Elephas maximus indicus: one gene and its partners. Each later gene encodes a partner of the first gene's protein in a complex. Links are inferred from orthologs where the notes say so. Each region holds a gene or a part of one and is shown in the gene's direction. Other genes may lie near its edges.

What was found.
Region 2: IQCD (region 1) and TCTE1 share a complex: the UniProt entries of both Homo sapiens proteins name them as parts of the nexin-dynein regulatory complex. The link is inferred for Elephas maximus indicus from reciprocal best matches to the Homo sapiens genes DRC10 and DRC5.
Region 3: IQCD (region 1) and DRC7 share a complex: the UniProt entries of both Homo sapiens proteins name them as parts of the nexin-dynein regulatory complex. The link is inferred for Elephas maximus indicus from reciprocal best matches to the Homo sapiens genes DRC10 and DRC7.
Region 4: IQCD (region 1) and IQCG share a complex: the UniProt entries of both Homo sapiens proteins name them as parts of the nexin-dynein regulatory complex. The link is inferred for Elephas maximus indicus from reciprocal best matches to the Homo sapiens genes DRC10 and DRC9.

The regions. Positions count from the first base shown.
Region 1 is NC_064840.1:11,361,333-11,369,036, reverse strand, and holds the start of IQCD (dynein regulatory complex protein 10), read left to right. Parts: upstream 1-4,377; 5' UTR 4,378-4,432; intron 4,433-7,704. Other genes in the region: TPCN1 (two pore channel protein 1), read right to left, coding at 840-951. UniProt on the Homo sapiens protein: Component of the nexin-dynein regulatory complex (N-DRC), a key regulator of ciliary/flagellar motility which maintains the alignment and integrity of the distal axoneme and regulates microtubule sliding in motile axonemes.
Region 2 is NC_064819.1:108,866,107-108,873,888, reverse strand, and holds the start of TCTE1 (dynein regulatory complex subunit 5), read left to right. Parts: upstream 1-4,472; 5' UTR 4,473-4,825; intron 4,826-7,782. Other genes in the region: AARS2 (alanine--tRNA ligase, mitochondrial), read left to right, coding at 66-176, 816-899, 1,022-1,132, 1,573-1,737. UniProt on the Homo sapiens protein: Component of the nexin-dynein regulatory complex (N-DRC) a key regulator of ciliary/flagellar motility which maintains the alignment and integrity of the distal axoneme and regulates microtubule sliding in motile axonemes.
Region 3 is NC_064839.1:24,569,717-24,577,618, forward strand, and holds the start of DRC7 (dynein regulatory complex subunit 7), read left to right. Parts: upstream 1-4,326; 5' UTR 4,327-4,400; exon of another isoform or gene 4,401-4,595; intron 4,596-7,902. Other genes in the region: ADGRG3 (adhesion G protein-coupled receptor G3), read left to right, coding at 488-768, 975-1,068, 2,155-2,429, 3,489-3,595. UniProt on the Homo sapiens protein: Component of the nexin-dynein regulatory complex (N-DRC) a key regulator of ciliary/flagellar motility which maintains the alignment and integrity of the distal axoneme and regulates microtubule sliding in motile axonemes.
Region 4 is NC_064819.1:17,036,544-17,044,848, forward strand, and holds the start of IQCG (dynein regulatory complex protein 9), read left to right. Parts: upstream 1-5,168; 5' UTR 5,169-5,567; intron 5,568-8,305. Other genes in the region: RPL35A (60S ribosomal protein L35a), read right to left, coding at 1,739-1,762, 2,339-2,483, 3,759-3,911, 4,114-4,124. UniProt on the Homo sapiens protein: Component of the nexin-dynein regulatory complex (N-DRC), a key regulator of ciliary/flagellar motility which maintains the alignment and integrity of the distal axoneme and regulates microtubule sliding in motile axonemes.

The DNA.
Region 1 (7,704 bases):
ACTCGCAAACTGGAGAAGAGCAATACCCCTCTGTCCTGGCCGAGGACGAATGGCAGACAGGGGGAACATCCACTTGCCAAGGAGACCCCAAAGCTCTGGTCTCTGATGACTTAGGACCCTCCCTAAAAGGCAGGTTATTTGAAGCCTCTCCTGAGCCCGAAGCCTGAGCAAACGAAGCAAATGGCTTTGGGACAAAAACCAGAAACGTTCTTAAGGCCTCCCATTCTGCCAGAAACACAATTAAAATTTAAAAAATTAAAAGCTCATGACCTCTCTTGGGTTCACTTTGTGCTAGGCTTTGGCTTAAAGGAAGACAAAGCAGAACCCAAAACCCTCAAATCAATGGCTCACTTGAGTGTGTCAACAACATCCACAACAAATGCCAGCTCCCTCCCACCCTGTCCTGGGCAGTGCAGGGGCTGAGCTCGAGCAGAGGGAAGCAGTCAGCTCCACTTTCCTGCCAACAGTTTCAGACTGGGACAGGCTGAGTCTGGTGTGGAAATCTGTTTCTTTTTTTAACAGGGAACGGGGCCGGGAAGCTAGCCAAGAAGCAGGTTAGACTGAGGCCCTAGCTAGACATCCACGGTCAAAGCCAAGGTATCTCTCAGGTGCAAGGGATGCAGGTGGCTGAGGGAGACAAGGGTCCCAGGAGGGCAAGGGAGCCCCCAAAAGCATCATGAAGCTGGGTGTGTAGAATGGGAAACGCCAGGGTCTCCCGGGAGTCATTTCAGTGGCACGACTTGGGGGGTCCGATGTGGGTGTGAGGCAACAGGTATACATCTCCCCATAGACCACAAAGCCCACCATCTCTCAGCCCCCAGCCCATCCCACTGACTTACTTTTGCTAGGCAGTTCCTCTTGGGCCAGTCCATTGGAGGGAGCCAGGGGAGTGCTGCTGCCCTCATCCAAGGTCAGAATCAGAGGCACGTCATCATCTAAGCTCACAGCCATGGTGTCCTCTCCTACAGTCCTCAGGATGCGATGGCCAGGGCCTTAAGTAGTCTCGGGTTTGATGTCCCTTTCAAAGCCACTGCCCCCGGGGTGCTTCTCAGAAACTCCTCCATTAGCGGCATCTTCTAGGGTTTAGGGGGACAGAAAAAGGAAGCGAATCATTCATACACAACCGTCACTGAGGGGCATGTTCTGGGAATAGATGGTGGTTTTGGTTACACAACCTTGTGTCTATATTAAAAACCGCTGAATTGTAGACTTTGAAATGGTGATTTTCATGGTATGTGAATCGTATCTCACAAACCTGGAAAGAACATATACTGAAAAGTTAAGAGTAATTAAATTTGGAGAGTGAGATTACGGCTAATATGTTCCACCACCCTCCCTAGACATTTGTGTGTGTCTTATAAAGATTTAAAGATTCGGAAAAAAATATATAACCATTAAAATAATATTGGTTAATACGCTTTTTTTGAGCACTTACTATGTACCGGGCACTCTTCTAGCCCCATAAGAAAACCAAAAAAACCAAACCCAGTGCCATCGAGTCGATTTGACTCATAGCGACCCTACAGGACAGAGTAGAACTGCCCCACAGAGTTTCCAAGGGGTGCCTGGCGGATTTGAACTGCCGACCCTTTGGTTAGCAGCTGTAGCACTTAACCACTACTCCACCAGGGTTTCCCCATGAGATAGGTAGGATTACTATCCCTCTATGACAGAGGGGCACAGAGAGGTTAGGTAACTTGCCCCAACACCCACAGGTAGAAAGCCAAGCTTGGAACAACACAGTCTGATTCCAGAGCTGTGCTCCCAGCCACCACACCACGATTCCTCTAAGTAGCAGCCTTGATATTTAGGGAGTACCTAGCTTCATTGACCTTAGCACGCCAGGTTATCTGTCGCTATTAGGTGCTGTTGAGTCGATTTTGACACCCCATGTGACAGAATCGAACTGCCCCATAGGGCTTCCTAGGCTGTAATCTTTATAGGAGCAGTCTGCCGTATCTTTCTCCCACGGTGCTGCCTGGGTAGGTTCGAACTGCCAACCTTTTGGTTAGCAGCCAAGTGCTTAACTGCTGTGCTATCAGACCTCCTTTCCATTTCCGCTTAGGAGGACCAAAAGAAAAGCAAAGACTCAGCAGATCTGACTGTGGACCTTTGAACTTCAAAACAGCAGTAGGTTCCGCCCTCCAGCTGTTACCTTCTGGGCTCAATCAACTTTGCCTCCAAGCTGATGCACTGAAATGGCAACCAGGCAACTTAGTTCTTTCACAAAAATCATCAAAATGACTCTAGGCAGACCCTAGTGCATCAACAGGGAACCGCAGAGCTTCTTAAAACAAGGCAGCAAAAGTAAACACCATTCTACTTACTGCAAGCTTGTAAGTCTGCCTGGCTAACTTCCTGTGAGATTTTTTTTTTTAAGTTTCCTCCCAATCTGGGGATTTATTTTGCTTTTGAATCTCAGTAGTGAGGAGGTAGAAAAAGAGGAAATCTCACATACGACACCATTATGCTGTCTTGGGAATTCTGTGCGGTTTATCTTGTTTTAACTTTTTACCATTGATACTTTCAAACACACATAAAAGTAGTGAGAATATGTAAATGAACTTCCTTGCATTCATCACCCGCTTCAACAACTACCAACATTTTGCCATTCTCTCCTGTGTTTATTTTGATGAGAGACTCTATCAACCTTCTCCACACATCAAGAAGTGGTTTCCTAATTTTATCGTTACCATAACGGCTACTGGTTTTGTCGGTTTGTTTAACTGTTTAATACATGACTGCTTGCTTGCAGTGTCTTAGCTCAGTGGGTTTTCCCACGAAAGGGAGATTTGACAATGTCTGCAGCCATTTTTGATTGTCACAACTGGCTGGAGGGAGGCAGGCAGGGTTGTTACTGGCATGTAGTGGGTAGAGGCCAGGGATAGTGTTAAGCATCCTACAGTGTACAGGATAGCCCTCCACAACAAAGAATAATCAGGCCCAAAGTGTCAATGGTGTCTGTTGAGAAACCCTACCTTAGCTAATATCCCTGTTTCATAGATAAAGGAACTGAGGCTTAGAGAGCTTAACTGAAGTTGCCTTTTGTAAGTAAACAACAGGGAAGTGGTCCATACCAAAATAACCCATTCCTGTCCAGTGGATTCCGACTCATAAGGACCCTATAGAGAAGTGGTAGAGTCCAGATTTCAACCCAGGTAGTCTGAATTCAGAGACTTTCCCCGTTTAATTATTACCCTATACCTCTTCCCAGAACAGTGCCCCATAACATTCAAAACCATGGTTTTAGAGAAGGAAAAGTTGGGCCCAGAGAGGGGAAGGGACCTACCCAAGGTCACACGGTGCCCAGGCAGAGCTACAGAGCAGACTCCTGAGTCCTAGCCCAGTGCTCCTTCCAGTGGGCTTTGCTTCTCGCTCTATAGAACACCGAGGGCCGGGGGGAGTCATCCCAGGGAAAGGGGATCAGCAGCTGTCCCGTTACCCGCTGGGGCTGCCTGACCCAGGCATGAGCCCGGTGTAGGGCTGCCTGAGGGTGCCAGGGAGAGAGCTGGAGGGGGAGGAGGAAAGGCTGAGGAGCGCCGGCTTCACGTGCTCCCAGCTCTGGGCCCCAAGTGGGGGCCGACCCAGGGGGCCAGGGGCGAGAAAAGGGGGTGCAAAGCGCCGGCCTGGGCTGGAGGAAGAGAAGCACGTTGGTGATTTTCCTGCGCCCCCCCCTCAGGACCCGTCCTGCCCGCCCGCACACCCCGATGCCCAGACGCAACCTCATACTCAGCGCCTTCTGACCTCTGCCCCCTGGCCTCTCCCCCAGGCCAAGTCCTCGCGCTCCCCAGATTCTTACACGCGCCGCCCCAGCAACCCGGACCACGCGCAGGGGTCCGCACAAAACAGCACAGCCCGCCGGTGCCGCCGCCCAAGCTCCGAGCTCGGAGCTGTTGCAGCCGCCTCCGCCGCCACTTCAGTCGCCGCCACTCCAGCCGCTGCCACCACGGCAGCTGCGCCAGCGCTCCCATCCACCGCCTACAGTGTCCTCAACACTGCTGGCCCCGCCCCATTTCTCCGCTGCCGCAGTCTATTGGCTTCTTGGGTTGCCATGCTGAACTATGATTGACCAAATCTCATGTCCTTCTTCAGTCTTCGCCCACTGCCTGAGCTAAACTCTCTGCCCCCGCCTTGGAAGGGGCGGGACGAAGAAGTCCCGCCCCTTTCCCCGCCCACTCTCCCCGCCTCACCCGTTTGGCCCAACCCAGAGGGAGCCCCGGCTCTCTCAATTGGTGGAGAGTCAGGGATAGATTACTCCTGAGTGGTCAGACTCCCAGGAGGCGGGATAAGCTGGGCGGGAAAAGGAGTTGAATGGTGAAAAGGAAAGTCAGTCAGACCCCGAGTCCCGCCTCCTGAGATTGGCGGGTAACCTAGCAACGCGGGGACCTCGGAGGTAAACTGTGGGTCAGGAGACCTGGAGGCCTCAGAACAGGTGAGTGACCAGGTGGGTTAAGGAGTGGAGGTGAGGGGGAGATGTAGAATGGGGTCTAGGCTGCCCTCCTTTGGATCCCTTAGGAATAGTAGCCCGCACCCCATCCTGTCCCAGCCCCAGGACCCTACTCTCCAGCCTGTTTCCCCTCAGTCAAGTGTAGTCACATCATAGTTAATTTATTTCCAGCCAAACATAGGTGCCGGAAGTGAGAAAGTGGTTATAAATCCCCTACCGTTCCACTCAACGACTGTACGTTCCAGGGTGCATGCAATGAAAGGTTTCTCACGTGACTGAGCATTTCAATTACATAATTTTGATAAGGATCCCTGGTGGGGCAGTGGTTAAGAGCTCGGCTGCTAAGAGTCGGCAGTTCAAAGCCACCGGTTGCTCTTTGGAAACCCTATGGGGCAGTTCTACTCTGTCCTGTAGGGTCTCTATGAGTCCAAATCGACTCGATGGCAACGAGTTTGGAGTTTTTTGGGGGGGGGGGGGAATTTTGATTACACCAATTTTTGCCTTATGTGCCCACTTTAGAACCTAACTCCCATTCCCATCCTTAAAATGCAATTCCATTGCACATACCTCAGACAAAGTGTTTGTTGTGAGGATTAAATGAGGTATAGCAATGAGGAGCTCAGCAAAACGAAGCAACATAGTAAGTGCTCAGTAAATTGTGGCAAGTATTATTATTACTAATTTTCTAAAAGCACGGGTAGCCACAACTCTTCCTGCTTAAAACTGCCCCAAGGAAGTTCTCTCACATCATACCTTAAATATTCACAAGTTCGATGAGTAATTACTGAATGCCTACTAAAGGGCCAAGCACAGTTCTAGGTGCTGGGGTAGAACAGACAAGAAAGCAGCTTCTCTCCTCTGGTTATGGAGCTTGCAGTCTATCATGGGAGACAGACATTCATCAAATAATATACATATTAATATGAAATGACACCTGTGGACATTCACTTTCTATGATGGAAGAATAGGCCAACACGCCCCTTCTCAAAAACTTTAACAACTATAAAGCTAAACAAAACTGTCTAGGGGTATTTCATCCCTGTGGACATCAACCAAAGGCATACAACAAGTTGAGAGAGCTTATTCATGAAAACTACTGAACTTGGAGTTTCTGGTATACTTACCCAAGGCTGTTCCTATTCCCCCTCACCCTAGTTCTGTCAGCATGATAGTTCAAAGAGGGTGGGGCAGGCCATGAAAACCAATAGCTTCACTGTTATTGCTCACTTGATTTGGAGTGTTGTCAGTTAAAGTAGGATATGTTGATGGCAAGTAAATAGGGAGGGCCAACAGACCTGGTTGCAGCATTATTCAAAATAGCCCAAAACTGGTTGTTGCTATGTTAGTTGCTGTCGAGTTGATTCCGACTCATGGCAACCCCACATGGCCAGAGCAGAATGTCTCCATAGGGTTTTTAAGCAAGCTGATCGCCAGGTCGGACTTCTGAGGTGTGTCCAGGTTTGAACTGCCAACCTTTGGTCTCATAAATAATCGCCTAACAGTTTGTGCCACCCGGGGACTCCTCCTGGTCCCACAGGCACCTCTAACTTGATTACATACAAATCTGAACTCACCACCTTCTGTCCCCACACACCACTCCACCCCTCAAGCTCTGCTTCTCTTCCTGTCTTTGCCCTTTTGGTAAACAACCATCCAGCCAGCAACCTGGCCAGAGAACTGGGTATCATCCTTTACTCTTTGCTCTCCCTCCTTCCCCAAGGAGCCTTGGTGGCGCAGTGCTTAAAGCACTTGGCAGCTAACCAAAAGGTCAGGGGTTCAAAGCCACTCCACGGGAGAAAGATGTGGCAGCTTCCATAAAGATGACAGCCTTGGAAACCCAGTGGGGCCAGTTCTACTCCGTCCTATAGGGTCACTGTGAGTTGTAGATGACTTGATGGGACACAACAACAGCAACACAGTCCTCACAGCCAGTCCTTCATCTCATCCTATTGATTCTTCCTCTTCAATATTTCTCAAAGCCATCCACTTCTCCCCATCATCACTGCCTTGTCCCTGGTTGAGGTCACCTCATCTCTCTTCCGGACCTCTTCACCAGCCTTCTAAACCTGATCCCCTTGCCATCTTGCACCTGCCAACCCTTTCGTCACCCTTCATCCCAGGCTGCCAATCTGGCCGTGTCCCTCGCTCCCTGCTTAAAACACTTCTGGGAGCCTTCAATTCCTCCTCCTGAGTGAGGAAAGCTGTTATGCCCAATTTTCTAACCCCATCAAGTCGGGGGAAGCTGCCTCATTTCCTGGTCCACCTGTAAGGTGATCTAGAGGAAATGAAAATCCTAACCAGTATAACCAGGCCAGGATGGAACAAAAGACCCAGTAGTGGAAGTGGTTGGAAACTTAAGAGTGAGAGGGGGTGAGTGCTGAGGTCACTGTTCCATTATGTCTTGTCTGAGTTAAAAGGAAAAAAATGTTAGTTGAAGGGAAGAATCTAACCTACCCATTCCCTTTCCCAGACTTTACCCTCCACCCAGAAAGCTGAAAATAGCCTTTTGATTGAAAGCAGCCGCGGCATCATAGCATCCATCCCCCTCCCTCCACGCTGGCCAGACTGCCTAGAGCACCCGGACAGGCAAGATGCTCAGCCCTGGCTCTGGGTGGGGCATTCCCTTGGGAACACATTCCAGGCGTACATGGTCAGACACAAATGCCTTGGTTTTGGCTTGGGGGTTATACACAGTCCCAGTGAAGGATGAAAAGGGTGGGCCTAGCCTGCTAAATGGCTAACTTCCCCCCACACACTTCCTTTGTGCCCAAGGAGAGGGAAGCTCAGAGCCATAAGGCTGATGCACCACCGGATTTATGCTTCCACATGTAATCATCATCGTTGCTCACCTTTGAAGAGGGCTTTTAACTCTCCCAACAGCTTCCCTATTTATTAAGCCAACCCGGCTCCACACAGCTCCCCTTTGATGTGGCTGGGACAGAGGTTATATCCCTAGTTGTCAGAGATAAGGGACTTGCCCATAGTTATTCTGGAGTCTCCAGCAGGGGACATGTACCAGGTCTCCTAACACCCAGCTTGTGATCTGATCTTGATTCTGTAACTGATGGTGACTTTAGATGATGCAGATATCAGGCAGGACTGGGCCGGACTTGTGAATGAGAATGACTTTGAACCTGGATGGAGCACTGGACTTGGGGGTGGGGAGGCCAGGTGTTTCCCAGCTGACCCAAGTCTATTGTTACTAGGCCAGTGGTTCAGAAGACTGTTTTAATTGTCACAACCGGGGGTCCTACTGG
Region 2 (7,782 bases), on another chromosome or scaffold:
TGGACCCTGCCTCAGAGGCTGTGGCTCAGGGAAGGGCAAGGGTGATGTACTGCTTCTGGCTGTAGGCCGTGGACACCGCTGTGATGCCCCAGTGGCAGCGGCGGGAGCTTCAGGCAACACTGAAGGTGCTGCAGCGGCGTGCCAACACTGCCATCCGCAAGCTGGAGACAGGGCAGGTAAGAGGAGGTTTGGCTGAACTCATCGGGGACAGATTCCCAGTACACCAAGCAAGGGCCAGAGACCTCCAACCCGCTCCCTGTGGAGTCTCAAGAACTGGGGTACGTGGGACAAGTCAGGCTGTGCTGGGAGGTGGGCGAGAACAATGGTAGCCTTCCTCCTCTTTTTGCCAGCCCACAGCAGGCCTTTCCCCACACCTCTCTCTCTCTGCCAAACCGTGTCTCTCCCCCATCTTCCAAATCTGGCTCAGACTCTCCCTCCAGGAAGCCTTCACTGATGTGATTAACACCATTCAACCCTAATGGCTGTTTAACTGTGGCTCCCCCTGCCTCCCCCCCACTCCCAGCCATCTGTGCTCCAGCACCATCCTTTCACCTTCAGTGGCCTATTTGTAGGGCCCTGGGGCTGTGATGAGAGAGAAGAGGCAAGGGAGGGGAGGAAGGACCCAGATGGGACCCGAGAAAAGGAGGCCATTCCAGGCAGAGCCCCTGCCACCTCTTCTCAGAGCTGATGACCTTGGCTGAGGGAGGGGGAAGAGGAGGGAAAGGCATTGCTGGGTTAGGGCCCTGTTCAGAGTTGGAGTTGATTGAAAACCTGCCTCCCACCCTCACCCCTCTGCCTTCTTTCCTGCCCTACAGGCAGCAAAGAAAACCCAGGAGCTGCTGGAGCGGCACACGAATGGGCCTCTGATTGTGGACACAGTCCCTGCTGAGTCCCTCTCAGTGAGTCTTGGGGCAGGGGAGGTGGAAGAGCTGCCCCCAGGGCTGGGGAGGGGAAGTCATGTCTCGGGGGTAGTTCGGAGACTGAGAAGCCATGGGGTTCCCCATCTGTCCTCCCTGTCCAGGTTCTGGTGAAGGTGGTGCGGCAGCTGTGTGAGCAGGCCCCCAGCACATCCGTGCTACTGCTCAGCCCCCAGCCCCTGGGGAATGTGCTGTGTGCCTGTCAGGTGGCCCAGGTGAGGGTAACAGGAGAGCAGCCCCATCCCCACCCAGCTCCTGGTCCAGATCTCTGACTTCACACCTTTTACTTTTCCCTGAAAAGGGAGCTAAGGGGCTAGGTGGAGGTGATCTATGAGGACACCCCAGGACAGGGATAGGTCAGTCTCCCAGTCAGGAACCTCTCCCCCAGGGTAAAAGCAGCATGAGATCCTCTAGTTTCCACCCCACCCTCCTCTCCAGGCCTCATATCCCTTGCTAACAAGTAGCAGACATTCATCAATCTCCATATACACTTCCAGTCCAGCCCTTCTCCTGTCTCCTCACCCAGCTTCCTCCACCGTGTACCCAGCTGGGGAAGGGATGCTGATTCCCTGCCACTCCATTCTCGAGGGTACCTTGAGCGCATGGGACAGGGAGGGCTGCTCCGTATGGCTTCCCCTTCTGTTTCTGCCCCCAGGGTGCCACACCTGCCTTCACAGCAGAGGCCTGGGCACTGGCTGTGTGCAGCCACATGGGAGGCAAGGCGTGGGGCACTCAAGTCGTGGCCCAGGGCACCGGAAGCACTGCTGACCTGGAAACGGCCCTCAGCACAGCCCGAGCCTATGCCCTCACCCAGCTCTGACCCAGGCCCACCCGGGGGCTGATGTGAACAAAGAGACAGTGGACGTGCAAGTGCCAGGAGCTCTGAGGAGCTAGTTGAACCTCAGAGGGTAAAGCGGAGGACTGAAGGCTGAGAAGCTGAGCCAGAAAGGGCCACCCTGAGCCAAGCCCCGTGTGGACACAGGGAGCTGGAGATGACTGGAGAAGGCAGAAGTGGGCCCAGAGACACACTCCCACTTGGTGGCTGTCGTGACTGTGAATCCTCATTAAAAATATTTCACAGAGGATTGGAAACTAGAAGATTCTTTTATTTTAAAAAAGCAGCCTTTCGCTCCCAAGAACCTGTTATGCATGCCCCATCCCCAGTCTCCCCTCACACTGGGCTGAAAGGATCCAAATCACGGCCAAGAGTGCTCAGACGGGTTCTGTATGCAGAGCCGTCCTGGGCTCCAACAAAGCCTCCTGATTTGCCAACAGCCTGCCAAGATCCAGAGCTTTCATGTAAAAATCATTACAGCAGAGCAGACCTTCACCGAGTTACTTCGTTTCATTAATAATGACTTCTTGTTTTAATTAAGGCCCTGTTGATTTGTTGATGAATTGAGCAACAGGTACTGCCCAGTTGCTGAGAACTGACAAGAAGCAAACTGAGAAAAATTCCTGCCCTTGAGGAGCTTACTTGTAGTGGGGGAAACAGGCAATGCACAAGAAAAAGGAGGTGTCAGATGGTGATGAGATCTGTGTCAAAAAAGTGGAAAGGGGATCAGGAGTGTGTGAGGTGGCATCTGAGTGGGGAGCCGGGAGGCGAGGGTGCGAACCATGTGGGTATCTGAGGGAAGAGCGTTCCCAGCTCAGGGAACAGCCAGTGCAAAGGCCTGAGGTAGGAACTGAGGAGGCTAGTGCCGTTAAGCACAGTGAGCTGGCAGAGTGCCAGGTGATGGGGTTGGAGAGACTGCACAGGCCAGAGCAGTCCTACTTTTTGAAACGAGGTACACACCACCTGCTCCCAGCCTAAGCTGAAGCTGAAAACAGTCTAATGTTGGCAACTGAGAGCAGGACGCTGAGGGATGCAGGGAAGCCTGCCTTCTCTGCCAGGACTGAGCCAGATGCTGGAGCTCCGTCTCTGCTCCAAAGTCCCTGTTGCTAGATGAAAGAAAGGACCTCAGGGGCAAGGGACCCATATTCAAGTCAGGGCCGCCCCAACTGCCAAGCTCTGGGATTGTGTAGTAAAAATGAGATACAGAGCAAGATGGACCTTCCTGGCATGACTTTATTTTTTGAACAATTCCTCATTCTAATTAAGGGACTGATGATTTGTTGGTAAATCACTGACGAGGGCTTGAAGGGACTGGAACCCTTGGTGCCTGGTCCTCGACTGCTTGCTCCAGCCCTCTGGAGTTGCAAAGCTTCATTTCAGAATCTTGGTAATTGGAGCCGTAGCCATATTTGGTGGTGCTCACCACAGGCCCAGCTTTTTCTTAACAAACTGTGGGAACCAAGGTGAGGGTTGTGGTACCCACACTTTATTGATGAGGAAACCGAGCTTCTGAAATGCCAACCCAAGGTTGTTAATGGGTACCATCAATTCCAAATCATAGCAACCCCATGTAACAGAACAGAACTGCCCCATAGGGTTTTCTTGGCCGTAATTTTCACAGAAGCAGATCCCTAGGCCTTTCTCCCAAGGAGCCATTGGATGGGTTTGAACCACCTTTTGGTTAGCAGCCAAGCACTTAACCAGTTCTGCCACTAGGGCGTCTTTTATCCTAGGTTTAAAAAAAAAAAACAAAAAACCCATTGCCCTCAAGTGGATTCCCACTCATAGTAAACCTATAGGACAGGACAGAACAGTCCCTAGAACTTCAAAGGGGCACCTGGTGGATTCAAACTGCTGACCTTTTGGTTAGCGGCCGTGGCTCTTAATCACTACGCCACCAGGGTTCCCTTACCCAAGGTAACCAGCTTAAAGCTAAGTTCTGCCTCCACGTGAAACTCCTCCCACCTCACTGGCTGCCTCTCCCCTCCTGAGGACAATTTCTTTTTCTTACTAGCAAGCCCCCTGAAGTCTGTCACCCTCACCCTCCAGGAGATCAGGGCCACCACATCCTGTCACTACAGGGCTGGCGGGAGCAAGGAGAGCATTGACTCCAGGTTTAGAGCTCTGCCAAAGAGCACTGCGGAGACCCGGAACCTTCCTGTCTCAGGTGCCGGACACCAGCCTCATTTACATTCTGAAGAAAGGTGGAAGGTGTTACTTACTGTTCAGGGATGCAGTGCAGCCCACAGCTCTCCTGCAGGGTTTGAAGTCAACAGGCGGCCTCAGGGGGAGCTTCAGTAACTCCTGCAGGTACCCTGGACCTCTCCAGTGCCCCCACCCTACTGCACCATTTCTCCTGAAAAGGTACCAATAAGGAAAAAGTACTCCAGTCCAGGACCCTTGCCCTGGCCCACTCCTCACCTCCAGAGAACACCAAGCATACCCATCCCCAAGGCCACAGAGTTTTCACTACCCACAAAGCAGCCCCACACAGACCTAAGTGTCCTGAGGCAGGGCCTGGGCCACCTTGCGGGCCGCCGAGCCAAGTGCCATAACAAAGGACCAGCCCTCTGCGCTTATATCGACCACCACCCAAACGTGGTGCATAAGCAAGCGTACGCGCACACGGGGCCTCGGGCCAGCTCGTGCAAATGGTGCCGGGACTTCCCCGTCCCGCCCCCTGGCGACGCAGGGCGTCCCTAACGACTGTAGGCCGCGCGGAGACTAGAGAGAAGGCGAGGGCCCGGGCTCCGAGGGAGCAGGTGAGGCGATCTCTCGGATAGGAACACTCAACCCCCTACAGGGCTGACCTCTCCCGGACCCCACTCACGCCTGCAGGGCCCAGAAGCCACTCCTGCGACCCCAGAGAGAAGGCCCGCGCCCTCAGCCCAACAAGTCTGAAACCTGCAGGCGGCCATCGCCTGAGCTCCCAACATTCCTGTGGTGGGGAAGGGCCGGTCTGCACTTACAAGAGGCCCCCTTCCATTCAGTACCTCCTCCCCGGCCTCAGCCACTGTCTACACACTGTGGAGCCCGGAGCGTCCGGCCGGAGTGAAGGGTAGGGAGAACTGTGGTAAGGAAAAGGGGAAGGTGGGGCTTTGGGTGGGTCGTGGAAGAGAGCCATCATAAACTCAGGGGCTCCAGTCTTCCCGGAGAGGCTGATGCTGCAGATCACCAGCTCCTTCGGGCCGCAGTCCCTCCTGCAGGTCCAGAAGCTTCCACACCTCCCTCCCTCCTGCCGCTGGGCTGGTTTCCCTTGGTTACCAGGAGAACACCAGGACCTATTGGCAGCAGGTGGAATGGAGGAGGGACCCACTGACCTTTGGAACTGGAGCTTCTCAGCTGGGGTCTGAGCTGAAGGGAGGGATTATGAGTGGGGAGCGAAGCCTCTGGAATCCCTTTTGAGACAACAGACCAGAGTGAGCAGGAGTTGGGAGGGAGCCCAGGCCTAGGGGCTGCGATAAGTGTGTTTGCTGGTTCACCGGGCTAAGACCAAGCATGCTGTGCCTGGGCTCTGTCTGAGACACTTTTTTGCCTGTCTTCTTGTGAGTCCACAAGCTGGGAAATCCCAACTGGGAACTGAGGAGTTATTTGCCCCATCTCATGACATCATAGGCATGAAAGAGCTCACCTTCAGGCAGGTGTAGACAGATGCCTGGGGAGAGCACTCCTCAGTGGGTCCTGGGAAGGGAGAGAAGCTGGCCAAGGAGGCAGAGACAGCATGTCAGCGAGGTGGGTGGAGAACCAGAGAGGCACCGGTAGGCAGGCAGGTAGGAGGGCAGTCCATGCCGAACGCTGCAGAGCACCCCTGGAGATTGGCACAGGAGAGCACTCACCCTCAAGGGAGGCTTCCCCAGGAGAGTACTAGGCTTGGAAGCTAGATTCCAGGTGACTGAGACCAGAGCCAGTGGTCAGAAAGGGAGGGCAGCGAGTCAGAGAAGGTCAGCTTCCTAGGAAGAAGTGAGGCTGTGGAACCGGCAGGAAAATCAGGCAAAGGCTCTCCCCCGATGGAGGGGAACCCACTTGCTCAGGTGAGAGATGGAGGAGCCCCTGGGTGGAGCAAACAGTTAAGTGCTCATCTACTAGCTGAAAGATTGGTGGTTCAAATGCACCCAGAGGTGCCTCAGAAGACAGCTCTGGCGTTCTGCTTCTGAAAGGTCACTGCCTTGAAAACCCTATGAAGCGCAGTTGTACTCTGCACACATGGGGTGTGTGCACACATCAGAATCAACTCTACTGCAAGTAACAACAACAAACCCTTTTCAGAAAGGTTAAGAGATGAAAGTGCTGGGACACGACTTATTGAGGCAGAGACAGCCCATAGGGGGCATATCACCAGGCACAGAGGTACTCAGGCCTTAAAAGGGGCCAGGTGTCACCTCGTCTCAGTTAAGAGAAAGGGAAGTAAGGACATTAAGGACCAGGGATGTAAAGGACAGGAAGGTGAGAGGGCTCCCCTACAACTTATTTACCTTTCCCATTCAGGCAGGTGGGAGGAGCCCCTGTCCAGAGTGGGTAGATTTAACTGGAGACTTGAGGAAGGATGGAAAAGGTCGGAGATCTCCTTTGTGAGGTGGAATGTGCTAGAGATGCAAGCAGTGACTCCTGAGTCTGTGAGGAGCATCGAGGGCCCTGTGTGAGCCCTGGATCAGGACAGCAGAGCCCTGAGTATTCTCTTGGGTCCCCATGGAGCCTGAAGCCAAAGGAGAAAGGCAATGACCCAACTTTGTGGAAGGTTCTGGTGCCCAGGAGTGAGTTAGGGGGTGAGGGAGCCTGGGCTGTTAGGTTAGCATGAATGGAGGCAACCCCAGGCTCCAGACTGGTGACAAGGAGAGAGAACTCATGAGCTATAGAAAGTGGGAGGCCCACTGGAAACACACTGTGAATGACCAAGTTAGTAGCTTCATGAAGTTAACTCCATCACCTCGTTATTTGTCCATATTTTTGTGCCTGAAAGTGAGTGTTAGACAGAAACTCAAACCTCAGCTTCTCCACTTACTAGCTACGTGATGCTTAGCAAGTTACTAGTTACTTAAACTTTCTAAGCCTCAATTTCCTCGTTTGTGAAATGGGGATAATAATGGTAAACCTGAGAATTTAATAGAGTTATGTAGGTAAAGCATGTAACATCTTTATCACAATAATATCTAACATATGCTGACTCTGGGCCCACACTATATGAAATGTCTACACACATTAGCTCCTTTATTTCTTGAATTTGCCCAATAACCCTATGAGATTTGTTGTTCTTTTAGGTGCCGTCAAGTCGGTTCGACTTATAGCCACCCTGTGTGTAACAGAATGAAACACTGCCAGTCCTTCGCCATCCTCACAATCATTGTTATGTTTGAGCCCATTGTTGTAGCCAGTGTATCAATTCATCTCACTGAGGGTCTTCCTCTTTGTCAATGACCTTCTACTTTACAGAGCACGAAGTCCTTCTCCAGGATCTGGTCCCTCCTGATAACATGTGCAAAGTATACTTATCCTATGAAATAAGTACTATTAATTACCACCCCCATTTTACAGATAAACTGAGGCTTAGTAGGGTGAAATGACTTACCCAAGATCTTAAAGATGCTAGGAGGTAGAGTAGAGATTTAGCTTGAGGCAGTCCAACTCCTGAGTCCTGCAATTGAAATTAACCAGCTGCTATATAGGGTTGGTATGAGTCGGAATCGATGACAATGGGTTGGTTTGGATCGGTTTTATATTGCCTTGTAGGTCCCTGAATGGCACGAACAGTTTGCACTCAGCTGCTAACCGAAAAGTTGGCAGTACAAATCCAGCCAATGATTCCACAGAAGAAAGACCTGGCGATCTGCTTCCACAAAGAATATAGCCAAACAACCCTATGGAGCTCAATTCTACTCTTAATACATGGGGTGGAAACCCTGGTGGCATAGTGTTTAAGTGCTACGGCTACTAACCAAAGGGTCGGCAGTTTGAATCCGCCAGGCACTCCTTGGAAACTCTATGGGGCAGTTCTACTCTGTCCTACAGGGTCGATATGAGTCGGAATCAACTCGA
Region 3 (7,902 bases), on another chromosome or scaffold:
ATCAGTTGAAATGGACTCAATGGCACCCAACAACAACAACGAGGGGCCTTCAGAGTCAGCCTCCTCAGAAGGAAAAGTCTAAGGGGAGTTCTGAAGGTGGAGGAGGAGTCAGCAGGCAAAGAAGTTGGGAGGGCCTGAGAGGCAGGGACAGGCATTGAGAGCAGAGTGAAGAGCGTGGGTGAAGTCCAGGAGGTATGAAAAACAGAAGGTGTTCAGGGAATTACAAGGTATACAGTTTGGGTAAAGCATCAAGCCAAGGGGTGAGGCCGGCAGGACCTGGAACCTGTAGGGTCCTGTGGGCCATGAGAGAGGTCCTGAACTTGAACCTGAGTGCATTACAAACTGGCTGCTGGGCAGGAATGGAAGCTGGAAGATCAGGCGAAGAGCCAAGGGCTCATGGTGGAACAGAGGAGGTGGGGTGGAAAGGCCTGGGTGCCCCATGAGAGTTGTGGCCCCTTGTGCCTTTCACTGGCCCTTCTTGGCCCAGGTTCTTCCGGCAGAGGTTCAAGTCAGAAGATACCCCCAAGATCCATGTGGCCCTGAGTGTCAGCCTGTTCCTCCTGAATTTAGCTTTCCTCATCACTGTGGTGAATGGCTCGCAGGGCTCCAATGCTGCCTGCTGGGCTAGGGGAGCTGTCTTCCACTACTTTCTGCTCTGTACCTTCACCTGGATGGGCCTGGAAGCCTTCCACCTCTATCTGCTTGTCATCAAGGTCTTCAACACCTACTTCGGGCACTACTTCCTGAAGCTGAGCCTGGTGGGCTGGGGTAGGTGCTATCTGGATTGTCAGAGGAGATGGATGGGGTGGACATTCCCTCCAGCCAGGCCCTGGGGGGCCGGCTAGGGGCATTTCCCTGGGGAGAGAGGAGCTGTCAGACAGGCTCAGGGTTCAAGGAATGGGCAGCTGGAGGGGTTCTGGAGGAGGGCATGCCCAGGGAGGCTGCAATGCCTTAACTCCTCCCCTTGCTCCCAGGCCTCCCTGCCCTGGTGGTCATTGGCACCGGGAGTACCAACAGCTATGGCCGCTACACAATCCAGGACAAGGAAAACCGTACCATGCTGGAGCTGTGAGTGGCGGCTGGGGGAGCAGGGCTGATACCAGGTTCCAGGCTTCACATATCGGAGCCGGAGGGAGGGGGAATGGAGGGAGTCCTAGGACGAGAGATTCAGTGTGATGAGGCCAGAAAAATCTTCAGACCCAGCTAGCTCATGGCATGCAGGGGTAAATTGAGGCCTGGAGAGAGGAAGGAAAATGAGAGAGGGGAGCTGAAAAGGGGGAAAGAGAACTGAGCCAGGAGGCAGAATACTGGGCTCTAGCCTGGGCTGCCACTAGCCCATACAGCGCCTTTGGGCAAATTGAAAAATGTGCCCCACCAGACGCTTAACCTGGTAAGTGGAGGACATGCTGGATTTCAGCTCCCAACTGCCCCCTCCACCCATTGTACAGTGCACAACCTGCCCAACCACTTGTAGCAGCCCTGGTCCTAGTCCAGGCTGTACTCTTGACGTATTGTGTGACCTTGGCCAAGCCCCTCAGGGCAAGCTTCAGTTTCCTCATCTGTACCATGGGGATGATCAACATGCTCTTTTAGAGCCTTTTGTCCTTGCAGTACAAAGTGGAGCTGAGCTGAGCCTTCAGACTCCTGCCCTGGCATTCTCATGGTGCCCACCCCTGAGCCCACAGCCAGCACAGAGCTGGAAAGGGCCAGCAGGGCCTTGGGCCTGGCCCCAGAGTATCACATCAGGGGCCAAAGGGGCTGGATGGGAACTGTGGTGGAATGGCAACCATGTACCTACTCACTGAGTCTTCAGGAGGCCGTTTGGAGCTGCCAGATGTAGGGTTTTACAAGAGAAGCTGACATCTGGATATTTATGCCAAACCTGTTTTTTAGAGGATAGCTATTAATTCAATTTTTTTTTTTTTTTACAATATATGTGGAGCATATGAAACATGCCTTTGGGGCCAAATTGGCCCTTTTGCACACACGGTCTAAAGAGGCCCTTGAGCACCTGCCCCAGGAGGAAAGCGGGGTAGGTGGGTGGAGATAGGGGAAGACATTTTGGTCTTCAAAGGTCAGTCAGGGGAGACTTCCTGGGGGCTTGCTGGGCAACGCTCTCCTCTCCTTGTCCCAACGGCCATCCTCTTCCTCCAGGTGCTGGTTTCGTGAGACGACTGCCCTGTATGTCACCGTCCATGGCTACTTTCTTATCACTTTCCTCTTTAGTGCCATGGTCCTCGGCCTGGTGGCCTGGAAGATCTTCACTCTGTCAAGTATCACAGCGGGCAAGGAACAGGGGCTGAACTGGAAGGGGGTTCTCACTGTGCTGGGCCTCTCTAGCCTGATGGGCATGACGTGGGGGCTGGCTATCCTCACACCCCTGGGCCTGTTCACCATTTATATCTTCGCAGTGCTCAACTCCCTGCAAGGTGAGGCACCTGTACACACACACACACACACACACACGAATGCACGCGCGCGCGCACATACACACACAGGAGCTTTCTGTGCTGGATTCTAGTGTAATTCCTTAGCACTATCTTCCAAATCCCTGCTGTCTCTCAGTTTATCCCATCTAGTTATCTTGGAGCCCTGGTGGAGCAGTGGTTAAGAGCTCAGCTGCTAACCAAAAGGTCAGCAGTTCAAATCTACCAGCGACTCCTTCGAAACCCTATGGGGCAGTTCTACTCTGTCCTATAGTGTCCCTATGAGTTGGCATCAACTCGACAGCAACAGGTTTTTTTGTTTTTAGAGTTATCTTGACTGTTAAGCTTTTTTTTTTTATTTCAGAGATCCTATATTTTTACTCTTTTTTTTATTGTGATTTAAGTGAAAGTTCACAATTCAAATCAGTTTCTCGTACAAAAACTTATACACACATCGTTATGTGACCCTAGTCACTCTCCCTACAATGTGACAGCACACTTCTTCACTCCAGCCTGTATTCCCCGTTTCTACTCAACCAGCTCCTGTCCCCTTCTGCCTTCTCATCTTGCCTCTGGACAGGAGCTGCCCATTTAGTCTCATGTGTCTACTTGAGCTAAGAAGCACACCCCTCACCAGTATCATTTCATGTCTTGTAGTCCAGCCTAATTTTTGTCTGAAGAGGTGGCTTCGGGAATGGTTTTAATTCTGGGCTAACAGAGAGTCTGGGGGCCATGTCTTCTGGGGTCCCTCCAGTCTCAGTCAGACCATCGAGTCTGGTCTTTTTACTAGAATTTGAGGTCTGTATTCCACTTTTCTCCTGTTCCATCAGGGACTCTCCGTCGTGTTCCCTGTCAGGGAGGTCCTTGGTGGTAGCCGAGCACCATCTAGTTCTGGTCAGAGACCCTATTTTTAATTTCCAAAATTTCTATTTGGTTCTTTTCTAGAAATAGGTTTCATTTTTCCCTGATTTTTTCCCTAATGTCTTTTAAGCAGTTTTTAAATAGCCCCCCTCCCTGCATGTCCCCACCCACAAGCTCACTGCTACCCCTTTTCACCCCCAGGCATCTTCATCTTTGGCTGGTTCGCTGTCCTCTACTTCCCTAGTCAGAGTGCCTCCTCATCTGCAACTACCCAAGCCGACCAGACCCACTCGGTGTCTCATGGATAAAGAGGCTGCCAAGTGGCTAGGCTGGGAGCTGAGCCCTGAGCTCTGGACTCAACTCTGACTTACTGGGTAACCTTGGGTCAGTCCCTGCTTCTCTCTGGGCCACAGTCTCCTTCTCTGCACACTGTGGCTGAGGAGGGGAGATGGAGACCAGGTTGGACCACGTGGCCTCAAAGGTCCCATCCAGACGCATCTGTGGTTCTGAGAGTTCATGAATCCAGGAATGCAGAAGGTTAACGCGCTCATAATCCTGGGCCCCCTCCCAGCATACAGTGATGCCTCCCCTCCCTCTCCTGCTCACCTTGGTAGCAAAGCAGCCATTCTTTGCCCTTACCCACCCTCTGGTCTCAGGAACAGCCTAAGCTTAAATAGGAGAGTCTCTTGTAGGCACAGACCCTTGAAGGAGCCCCAGCCTCTCCCCTTACCCCTGTCACTTCCCTCTCAGACTCCAACTTCTGGCTGCTTGTACCTGTGAGGGGAGGTTTCCAGGAGGTCATTGTCCCCTCAGGCATTGGAGGAGTTGTTGGCTGAACTTTTTAGGTGGGGGGTTGATCCTCCTACCCAGCACAGCCCTGGTTTCTGCAGTCCCACCTGGGTCCATCCTCCCTGAAGAGCCTCTACCATTCAGGGGCTGCCAGCCTTCAAGATGTCTGGGGACATGGCTTCAGAGAACGTCACAGACTCAGTGGGTATGACACCTCAAGCAAGTCTGAGTCTCCACTCTGACTGCCAGGCGGGCAGCTGGACCTCGGATCTGCAGTCTTTTGGGAGTGGCCAGACTGTCACATGCATACTGCACACCTGAGGGGTGAGCATTTTTGCTCCTGTCTGTTCAGTGTGTGGGTCAGGGGGCTGAGGGTGGGGGAGCAGGCTTGGCATTTCCACCAGAATTGGAACTCCAGTGGAGCAGGAACCATGACTGCCTCCTCACTGTTTCCGCCCAGCCTGAGCTCAGGGCCTGGTGCAGTTCAGGCCCAGAATAAATATTTGTCAGTTGAACGAATCCATGTGCAGGTTTGGCTCCAACCTGACAGGGCCCTGAGCCAGGAAGTGTTTCTCAGGCCAGATCAATTTGGGTTTGTTGTTTTTCCTCGTGGCTGTCCCTCCATGTCTCCATTGCATTTTGGTTTCTCTGGTAGGAAACAAAAAGAGATAGAGATCGTAGAGGTAGAGGTAGAGAGAGAGAGAGAGATAGAAAGAGAGAGAGATAGAAAGAGAGAGAGAGAGAATTAGCAGACAGGCTAACACTGAGAGAGAACAGAGACAGAGAGAGGAGGCAGCCCCCTGGCCTGCCCCAATCCGAGGGTGGCGAGCATTGATGTCAATTCCCTCCTCAGGTCCCACCTCACAAGTTCCCGACCCCATTAGCCTTAACTCTAGCCTTAACTTACTAAGTGCCGTGGGAAATCTCACCCTCCCACACAACCTCTAACTTTTCCAATGTGCTTTGGACACTGCCAAGTGCCTTACACAGGAGAGAAGTTATTATTACTAGACCCTCCCTCACAGCCCCAAAGCTGTGTGAGCTACCAGCTGCCTCCCCCTCCCAGGTGCTGGTGCTGATGTCTGACAGGAATGGAGGTGGTGCTCCCAGAAGCCCTTGCTTCCCCCTCCTCCCACCCTGCAAACAGACAGGAAGGCTTTATGCAATTCACTGTGTTCCTGGAAGGGAAATCCTGAGGTGTGCACACTGCATCTGTTGAGCCTCATTATCAGTTTTTGTGGACAAACTTGCTAGGTTTCAGACTTATCTTCATAGACATCTGTTTTTCAAGGGGAGGGCTAGGTGCCCTGACATCAAAGTCTCAGAGTTAGCAACCTGTGCTCAAAAGGAACAGCTGTTCCAGGGTCAGACAGGCCTGAGTTCAAATCTTGGTTCTGCTACTTAGGGTTTGTTACCCTGAGAATGTCACCTCACCTCCCCAAGCCTCAGTTTTCCCCTCTGTAAAATGGGGATCATAGAACGTCCTCATCTTGTCCAGAGAGCATTGAGACGACAACAGTAAAGTGCCTGACAGTAGGAGTAGGCTGACTCTCCAAGGCCTCCTTGGTTAAAGAAAAACCAAGCAGAACCTTCATGAAAAGCAAATCATGACCCTCCGCAGCCTAGATGTAAAATAAGAGCGTGAGGTTAAAGGTCCCTTCCAGATTTCCTCTATAACTCTGCCAACAGACCAGCTCTGCACTGGGACAAGGAACTGGAGCCCCAGAGAGGCCCAGCAACCTGCCCAGAGCCACTCGGCAAGTTGGGCTGAAGCTAGGGCTAGGTGCCCTAGGGAGCCCTGATGGTGCAATGGTTAAGCACTCAGCTGCTAACCAAAAGGTGAGTGGTTCAAACTTACCAGCCACTCTACAGGAGAAAAGACCTGGCAGTTTGCTTCCGTAAAGATTACAGCCTTGGAAACCCTATAAGGTAGTTCCTCTCTGCCCTACAGGGTCACTATGAGTCAGAATCAACACGATGGCACACAACAACAACAACAGGCGCTTCCCGAGCTGCTGACACCTCCTCCCAGGGCATTCCCTGGATTCAAGAATTATCGTCTTGTCCCTGACCTCCTAGTCTCAAGGGAAACCCTGGCCTGTGGCTTTCTCAGACATGCTCACCAGTATGTGGGGCTAACCAAATCGCAGGCCGGAATGGGCTCATTTCCTGGTACAGATGGGGAGATGTAGCCAACTTTGGGGTGTGCTCCTGTTCTAGCTGGTTCTCCACCCTAGGTCCAGGCAGGGGCTGAGGGGCTAGGGTCCCTTATCACCTGGGGTCTCTACAAACTGTGGCTCTGAGGGTCAAGCTGGACACTGTGCTGAGGCCAAGAGGAGTTGTGGCAAAAACATATCCCAAGGCCTAGAGTAGATGGACAGGGTTCCCAACCATTGAAGGGTAACAAACACAGCCCAGGAGGTGGGATGGCACTGAGGGTGAGAGTGCAGACCCTGAGGTCTGCCTGCCTGGTCCAAATTCTGCTTCTGCAACTTGCCTGGGGCAAATTCCTCACCTTCCTCAGCCTGTAAAGTAGGAGTACCTGGATGGTGCAAATGGTTAACTAGCAGCTGCTAGCCAAAAGATTGGAAGTTCAAGTCCAACCAGAGGTGCCTCAAAAGAAAGGCCTGGCAGTCTAATTCTGAAAAACCAGCCACTGAAAACCCTATAGTCTGACACACACAGGGTCACCGTGATTTAGAACCAACTTGATGGCAATAGTTTTTTGTTTTAAAGTAGGGATAACAGTAGCTGCCCAAAGGGTTGATGAAGGATTAAATTAGAGACCAGTGGGCATGTGTGTGGCTAAGCCAGGCTTTGTCCTGATCATCACCTTATAAGGTCTTAGGGTCCCGTGGTGCTCCAGGTGCCACAGGGAGTGTCCTCTTCACCTCGGCACCCTGCCTGTTCTCTCTGTTCTGCCCAAGTTTCTTCATTTCTAGTATTTTTTCATTATAATATAAAATATACAAGGAAATAAGATGTATTTACTCTGTGCTCTCAGATAGACAACTTAATATTAAAATATAAACCCCCCTCACAGAGAATTTATTAATTCAATGAAATTACAATAAAGATTCCAGTTGATTTTATTTTATAGACTCTCAAAAAATTTATTCTGTGGTTTATATGGAGGCATGTAGTCCTCAAAGAGCTAAGTCAACCTTAATGAAAGAAGGGCTTAGAAGGAAGACTTGCCTCCAGATATGAAGACATTACAAGGCCACGGTGGCAATCTGTGCAGGAATAGGCAAGACCACTAGGGAAACAGACCAGAGGCCTCAGTGGCAGACCCATGTACCCCTGGGACTTAAAACACAACAAGGTGGATCACCAAGAAGGGACATATGGCCTGATAGATGGTGCTGGAAAATTGTCTCATTATACATAGAAAAATAAAACAGGATCCCTACTTAACCCTTCATACAGAGCTGGGCTCTAGGCAGATTAAAGATCTTACTGGGGAAACAGTGCTGTATAGTTAAAGTTGGAAAGTATCTTTGTGAGTTAGGGGCAAGGAAGGACTTCTCCAACAAAAATTCAAAATCACAAAACATTAGATCAAAGCCAGATACATTACATCAAAATTAAGGCTTTCTGTTTAATGAAGGACCATGGACAAAGTTATCAGACATATGACAAAATGGGAGAAGATATCTGCAACATCAAAAACCAACCAGAAATTAACATGTGGAAATTTTGCCAACCAACACGAGAAGACTTCCTCAATAGATAAAAACGGGCAGAGGTTTCAAACAGGCGTTTTCAGAGGAGGAAACATCTAAGACAAACAAGTTAGCACACGAAGACAAGTGTAAAATCATTC
Region 4 (8,305 bases), on another chromosome or scaffold:
ATCACATTCTACTTAACCAGCACAACACCTTCAGTTAATTCTGGGTCAGATTAAGGTGGCTTTTTTATACGTTACTTAAGTAGGTCCAAGAGCAGCACTGCCTGCCTGACTCAACTTTCCAAGCTGTTTCTAATAACCAAAGCTCCAACTTGTGGTGCCCATGAAAGGCATGCTCAGATCTCCTGGAGAAGAGCTCCTTAGGATCCACCTCATTGCCTGAAACCACGCCTACTGTTGCCACAGACTGAGCATGCCAGAATACAAACAGAAGCCTATTCTAAAAGGACTGGACTCCTCCCTCCAACAGCAACTTTGCCTTGAGGACTGCCATTCAACTGAGGGAACCTTGCTTACCGTGGTACTCTATACCCCATCCTTTCCTGCACCCTCTCCTTCAAAGATCTCAGATCTCCCCAACTTCTCAAGCTCCCTCCCCTTAATTCTACAAAGGGGTTTCCCTCCAAAAATCTGTGGCATGTCTAATTTGTTTTTGCCATCTGCTTCTCAAAGAACCCAAATATACATCTGAAAATGGGCTTGGTTTGGCAAAATCCCAGTTATCCGACATCTTCAGTGGAATGTCAAAACCAGTTAGTAAAAGCAAAGGCCTAGCGGCTACCGAGTCCTTAATTGAAAATCTACAACCATCATACTATAAATTGATGCATTAGTGCACTCGTATCTTTCACTTCAGCATACTTTCAAACTTAAAATATTTTAGAGCCCTGTTCACTTTCCTTTGTATATGCTAATATATCTCAATTCTGCACTTAACTACCTTGTAACATGAAGCCAAGGAAAGCTACTGTCTAGGCACTAATCCTAAACCCCATACACCACAGGATTAAACATCTTTTTCTGACGTAGAATCACATAGCATTATTTCACTCAATACTTCACATACTTGTAATTGCTATATTCTAGAATACTTTGCTGTCACAAAACCCAAGGATATCTCATCTCAGCCTATCTGAAACAACTGCCAAAACCTTTCAATATTATCTCCATATCCCTCCCAATTCCCAAAAGTCACAATTTCACCAAGCAGCCTACAGTAAACAGGCGCTTACTACAAGTGCTTTTAAGAGGTCATGAAAATAAATTTAAGCTTCATTAACTGACTCAACCTAATGAACTGAACAGTTACCAGTACATATAGTAAACCAGGGAGCCCCTGGGGAGTGGAAGAAAGGCCTGGCGGTTAAGTCTACTTCCAAGAAGATCAGCCACCGAAAATTCTATGGAACACAATCCTACTCTGACATACACAGGGTCCCATGGATCGGAATCCACTTGACTACAACTGCCACTCCAAACCTCCACCCCCAAGTTTATGTGCTTCCTGGAATACAGTGTTTTTCCATTCTTCAAAAAGTTATTCAAAGGCTGAGTTCAGATGCTCCATCACCGTAAAAAACTTTCAAGGTACTCTTTTCCACTATCCAACCAAAGCCTCCATATCTCCCATCTGTGTCAGGCTTTGTATTCAGGTACTCCCACCCTATCCTCTTCTCATTAAGACCCCCCAGAGGAGTTGTCTTCTAAGTTTCTGTAATTCCACTGACATATAGCACTACAATTTCCCTGTGAAATTAGTCGACTCCAATAGTCCTTTATTTCAATGTCCATTTTAAGCATATAGCAATTTAATTTAGAGGAAAGCGTTTAAACCATTTAACAAAAATATAAGAGAACAAGTAACAAAGCCACCATTTTATTTATTTACTTCTTAGTAAGTTTAAATCCTTGAGGGGTACAGCATCTGGGGGGAAAAGAACACAAGAGCATTAGGTGACTACATGTAAATTCACAAATGTTATAAAAAAACTAGTACCACAATGTGGACAAATCCCTTCCCATTTTCTCATAACTTACTTGGCCCAGAGTCTTGGGCCTAGGAAAAATACCAACTTTCTTCATCTATTAAATAAGGCTATTCTTCTAATAACACTGATATTGAGGATGAAGGGATGGGAAAATATTAAGAATTATCCCAGAAAAAAGATGTGAATTTATTTTCTAACACCTACTTCAGTGGCCAATAAACATCTTTGAGGAAAATTATTAAATGCTATTTTTTCCCCAGGCAGCTTTACTAAACTCTGCAATCTAAGCACAATCCATTTGAACACTCTGCCTTCACCTTTTTTGGTTTAACAGTCAGATGTTCTGTAATAGTTACCACTTAAACTGTGGCCACTAGTTTGGCAGCCTAATCTACAGGTAACACAGTACTAAGCAGGATCACAGTACCAGAATGGACCTTAGAGATCAAATCCCAACCCCTTGAACACAGTTTGACTACATAGAGGGCTAGTTTGGTAATAATTTTACTTACCACACGGATCCTGTGTCCAATGGCCTTAGCAGGAAGGTTGCTTCGGAATTTGGCACGAACCATGCCACTGTTTCCATGGGCCCGAGTTACCTTTCCCCAGATTACTCTGGTTTTGTTAGGTTTGCCGCCAGGAGTCACTGTGTTGCTGATTTAAAGAGAAGTGGAAAGTGCACGAGAACTCAGAATACCAGTAAAGTTTACACGTTTATCGGCTACACACTGTTCCCTCTTTGGTGGCGCAGTGGTTAAGAGTTCAACTGGTAACCGAAATACCAACAGTTTGAATTCACCAGGTACTCCTTGAAACGCTGTGGAGCAGTTCTACTCCTCCATCCTATTAGGGTCGTTATCAGTCGGAATCAACTCGACAGCAAAGAGTTTGGTTTTGTTTTTTTACTGTACACCAGGGGCTTTTGTAAAGGCAAGGCATGCTACAGTTTACAAAAGCCCTTTTTACAGGCTTAACACAATAATAAACAAGTAAAATATGTGGAACATGAGATGATAATAGCTGCAATATAGGAGAAAAAAAAAACAAAGGGGGCTAACAACTGGATGTTTCCATGTAGTGAGAGGGAAGAACTGCTTCCAATTTCAAGTAGTCACAGAAGGTTTCACTGAGGTGACGATGGAATAAAGGACCTGGTGAGGGAACAAGCCATACACGTATCTGGTAAAGACCATTCCAGAGGCAACCAAACCCCCAAAATAAAAAAAACCTGTTGCTGTTGAGTCAATTCTGATTCACAGTGACAGGTTAAAAATCTGAGAAGAGAGTTTGCTTGATTTGCCGGAAAACAGAAAAGAGATTGGAGGGAGAGGAGTTGAATCCTACCTAGGATCAGAAAGGAAATACGGGGCCTGATTGCAAAGGGTCTTAGACACCCCTTAAGGACTCTGGCTTTTGCTGAATGAGATGAGTCTGAGCAATGTACATGTGATCTGTCTGATAATTTTAAAGGATCACTCTAGCTGTGGCAGTGGACCAGGATGAAGTATGTCCCCAGAGATCTTAACTGGCCTGAGGTGGATTAAGAATCCAGGATTAAGAACCACTGCTCTGGACATGTAACATCTTTCAACATGTATAAAACATATAATTTTAGGAAATCAACTAAATGAATTAAGGTACATGGAAAGCGCTCTATAAACCCATATGAGCATCACACTATCAGGAATTAGCTTCTTCCTTGAAACAAGAACAGCTGTAATTTCTCTACATGGTGAAGTAACTGAAATCCAAGACCATCCACAAAAATAACGTCCTTCTACAACATCCCATGAATTCCTTAAAGACTTCAAAAGAAGCCACAGTAGAATCAATTGTTTTATCAACATCTATGTTTTATTTTTCTTTCAACAGAAAAATGAGGCAGATCTTAATTAAAAATTGAAAAGCACAGCAATATTATAAACTTACTTCTTTGCTTTGTACACATAGGCACATCTCTTGCCTAAATAGAATTCGGTTTCGTCTCGGGCATAAACACCTTCAATTTTCAGAAGAGCTGTGTGCTCCCTCTGGTTCCGGAGACCCCGTTTATAGCCAGCAAAAATGGCCTTGGACCACAACCTAAGATACACAAAATATGTAACATTAACGGTAAACTCTTAAAAGATGTTGTCAAACCTCAACAAACCACCGGTATAATTTGGCCCCCAACCCAAGTTACCTACAGCAAATATCTAATTTTTCTGGTCTTTTTAAACTCACATTTAGGTTCATGTTCAACAAAAGACTACATATACGAAGCAATTATATTTAAAGCTCATACCTTCCAGACATATTTGCCGGTTTCGAAGTCCTGTTCCCAGCAGGCCTTAAACAAAAAAGACTCAGTTCACAACCTGGCAACACAACTTTCCCACCAAGTGCCCCCTCGTTTCTCAAGCACATTAGACAAATTCGTTTTTGATTGACATTTCATATAATAGTAAAAGAAAACATTAATTATGCCATAACATTTACATGAAAGGTCTGTTAAGGCAACCAAGCCTCACAGAAAGCCTCTGATATGTAAGGAAACTCCAAAGTAAAGGGAAAAAATGCAGAGGCCAAAGAAAATCCGAAGTGGCAAAAATATACCCTTCACGAAATAAAAAAAAAAACACACCCACTGCCGTCAAGTCGATTCCGACTCATACAGGACAGAACTGTCCCATAGGATTTCCAAGGCTGTAATCTTTACAGAAACTAATTGCCACATCTTACTCCCGTGCAGGGGCCGGTGGGTTCCAACCGCCAACCTTTTGGTTAGCTCCTATAAAGAAAAAGTAAGGTGGCAAAAATATATACTTGACGAACTCCTAGAAATTTCAACAGGAAGCCCTGGGAAAAATCATGTCATGACCAACAGACAAAAACTCAGGAAAAATAAAGACTTATCGAGGACCGTATCCGAACAGAAAACGGACTTGAACCCAACCTAAAGGACCCACTGCCTTAAATCGGCACCTGTAGCCAAACGAAGTGCACCTATTTCACTCCGCTCTGGCCCGGAATCTACTCCTATTACAGGACCCGTTCCCCGGACGTCAGGGAACCAGCACCATCAACCCCGCATCTCTGCCATCCTGCCCTCCCTCTCGCTGGAATCCTTAAAATCCACTGACTACCAGGGTCCCCAAGCTGCACCGGTGCCTCGCGAAGCATATGGATGAGCCCACCCCAGCTATTTTGCTCCCAAACTTCAGCAGCTGAAGCTTCCCTCACCTCTACAGGCTCCAAGATGGCGGAAAAAGGAAAACCAAGACCCGCCGCGTTGCCTTGTGGGATAAACACCTCTCTTCCCTGCCCCCAAGTAGGCATCTTCCGCGTCCGCCAGAAAAACAAGCGTCAGGAATCGTCTTCGGACTGACGCAGCCTACATCCAAGAGCACTTTTACAATTCTTTGCCAAAGTTCTTTCATCTTTATAGGCTGCAGCATGCGTTATTTGGGAGCAGAGGGAGGCAAAGTGGTAGCCAGCTAATGGGGGAGAAGAAAAGGTCCCCCAAGCTGTGCGTTGCCATAGAAACACCCTAGCTTGGTACCGGCTTCCTAGGGTGCTGTAGGTGGAAAAGTAGAAGCCGGACTGAAGGACTTCTCCCCGCCTTGGACACCGCAGAATTGGTTCGCGAACGTGGGAGCATCTTTCCTTTCCACCACACAGGAGTAAGCGCACGGAGACTCACTTTCGGATCCTACCCTCGCCTGGAAGAGAAAGGCCGGGAGCGCAAAGGCAGGAGAGGTCGTTCCTTTCTTTCCCTGTTTGTAATTCCTCCTGTCTTCTCCCTAGTCCTTTACACCTTTCAAGAAATGACTTAAATTCTTTCCTCCGTCCTTCGCTTTGACCCCGAGGGTAAGGAGGACTGCCCTGAGAAGACCTATCACCTTTTTAGGAAGACCCCTTCAGCTGTCAGACAAACTGAGCGTGCCCTGCACCGTGTACACCCGTAAAAGGCCCTCAGTAGACACTGGTAGACTAGAAAGAGATGGGTTAGTGGACGTCAGAGATTTACATTTCCTAATTATTGAGAGTTTATTTGGATTGCCCTGTGGATTCTTTCATTTATTCAGCAAATATTTCATTGAATGACTGCAATATGCCAAGCATTGTTTTAGACCCTGAAAATACTTTTGTAAACAAACGAAAGCAGAAATCACTGCCTTCATGGAGCTTGCATCCTAGTAGGAGGAGCCAGACAATAAAGCAAGTAAAATATATGGCACATTACCCGTTGAAACCAAACCCGTTGCCGTCGAGTCGATTTCGATGCATAGCGATCCTACGGGACAGAGTAGAGCTGCCCCCATAGGGCTTCCAAGGTGGTGGATTCCAACTGCCAACGTTTCGGTTAGCGGCTGTAACTATAACCACTGCGCCACCAGGGTTTCCATATGACAAATTAGGAGGTGTTAACATATATGGAGGAAAAAAAAAAAAGCAAGGCGGCCAGTGCAAAGGAGGCTTTTACTCTGAGATGGGAAGCCATTTGAGGTTTCCATACAGAAAACAAAATCGGCTGCCATGGAGTCGATTCCCACTCATAGCGACTCTGTAAGACAGAGTAGAACTGTCTCATAGGGTTTCCAAGGCTGTAATGTTTATGGAAGCACACTGCCACATCCTTTTCTGGCAGAGCTGCTGATGGATTCAAACCCCTAACCTTTCAGTGAGGCGCGGAGCTCCTAATCACTGCGGCTTTCCGTACAGAGGAGTGACTATCTGCCTTAAGGGAGGCAAGGGCACCAGCAAGGAGATCAGTTAGGAGGCTGTTGTCATGATCCTTTTGGAAGATGATGGTGTGTAGACAGGGATGGCAGGTATTGGAATTCTGAATGTATTTTAAATGTAAAACCGACAGGCTTTGATGATGGATGAAGAGTGAGAGGGAGAAGAGTAAGGAATGACTCCAAGGTTTTTATAAAGTAGTTGTATAGAGGTCACATATAAAATCAGATTCTCTCTTAAATACATCAGGGTAGGGTTTCTGTACCTCACTCTCCCATCAGATTTTCTCTGTCCAAGAAATTGAATTCCATGAAGTTCCAAAAGTAAGCACTGCTGGGAGGAATAACACATTCAGTGTGAGTTTCATTTATTTGTTCATTCGTTCACTCCACAAACACTTATGTACCGAGCACAGTGCAGACACAGGATACAGTCGTGAGCATTGCTGTCACGTTTCCTGCTTTCGTGGGGTGGGGGAAACGGACATAAACATTACAGATTCTGAGGAGGGTTCTGTGAGCCCTTGAACAGAAGAATCCTGATCCAGCCTGGTGTGTCAGGGGAAGGCTACTTGGGAAAGTGTCGTCTAAGGCATTTTTCAAAATGCAAGTGATACTCCATTAGTCCATTGAAAGCGAAATACTCGTTTAAACAAAATATGATGGAATACAGTGGAGTCTAGACCTTCTGGTGCCACTGAAGCTGAACCAACACCCAAAACTATTGCCCTGAGATAATCTAAACCTCAGACCTCAAACCAATACTTCCCCCTGAAGTCTGCTTTGAATCAAACAAGTTTAGCTTAATTAGTAAAGCATGTCTGCGTTGCGCATTGTGTTCTTTCAAAGATTTATCTCTACGGGATCAAATCGACAACAGCATCTCGAAAGGTTAGCGGGCCTTGAGTTTATGTTAATGGTGGTGGAATAATTTGGAAAAGGAGAGTGAGAACAGTTATACAACTTGAAGATGGTAGACGATATCATTGAATTGTGCATGTAGAATTTGTTGAAATGGTGTAGACTTTGCTGTGTATATTTTCACTAAAATAAAATAAATCTTTAAAAAATGATAGAATAGAAAATATCAGGATGTATCACACATAGGGAAACCCTGGTGCCGTAGTGGTTAAGAGCTATGGCTGCTAACCAAGAAGTCAGCAGTTCAAATCCCACAGGTGCTCCTTGGAAACCCTGTGGAGCAGTTCTACTCTGTCCTATAGAGTCGCTTTGAGTCAGAATGACTCGATGGCAATGGGTTTTATCACACATAGTAACTAAATGGGTGTGTGTGTGTGTACATTCTAGGGAAGCACAGCCATATCTTATCTGCACAAAGCACAGTCTACCTATGCCTCAAGCCTAAAAAATGAAAAAAAGAAAGAAACAACTGCGTAACCACAGAACAAAATTACGCATAACACCCTGCTACCTCTTCCTAGGACTGCCCCTGCTCCAGAAAATTCGGCTCTTTTGGAGCATCTTTTGTCACTTTACACAAAGATTCTGTTTTATATGATTGAAGTTTTATATATAAGATGTTTATCAAGTGAGACATATTTGTACTACCCCCCTCCCTGGGACCACTTTATTGTGGACAAAGTCACACTGAAAACAGCCCTTACTTTTCAGTCTAGAGCACAATTCTCTATAGGTTATGTTCACTGTAAACCTTATCCAAGCACAGTAATTACTGAAGTAATTTACCTAGAAAAGGCGCCACCTTAATAGCAATATTAAACTGATTTCCAGGAT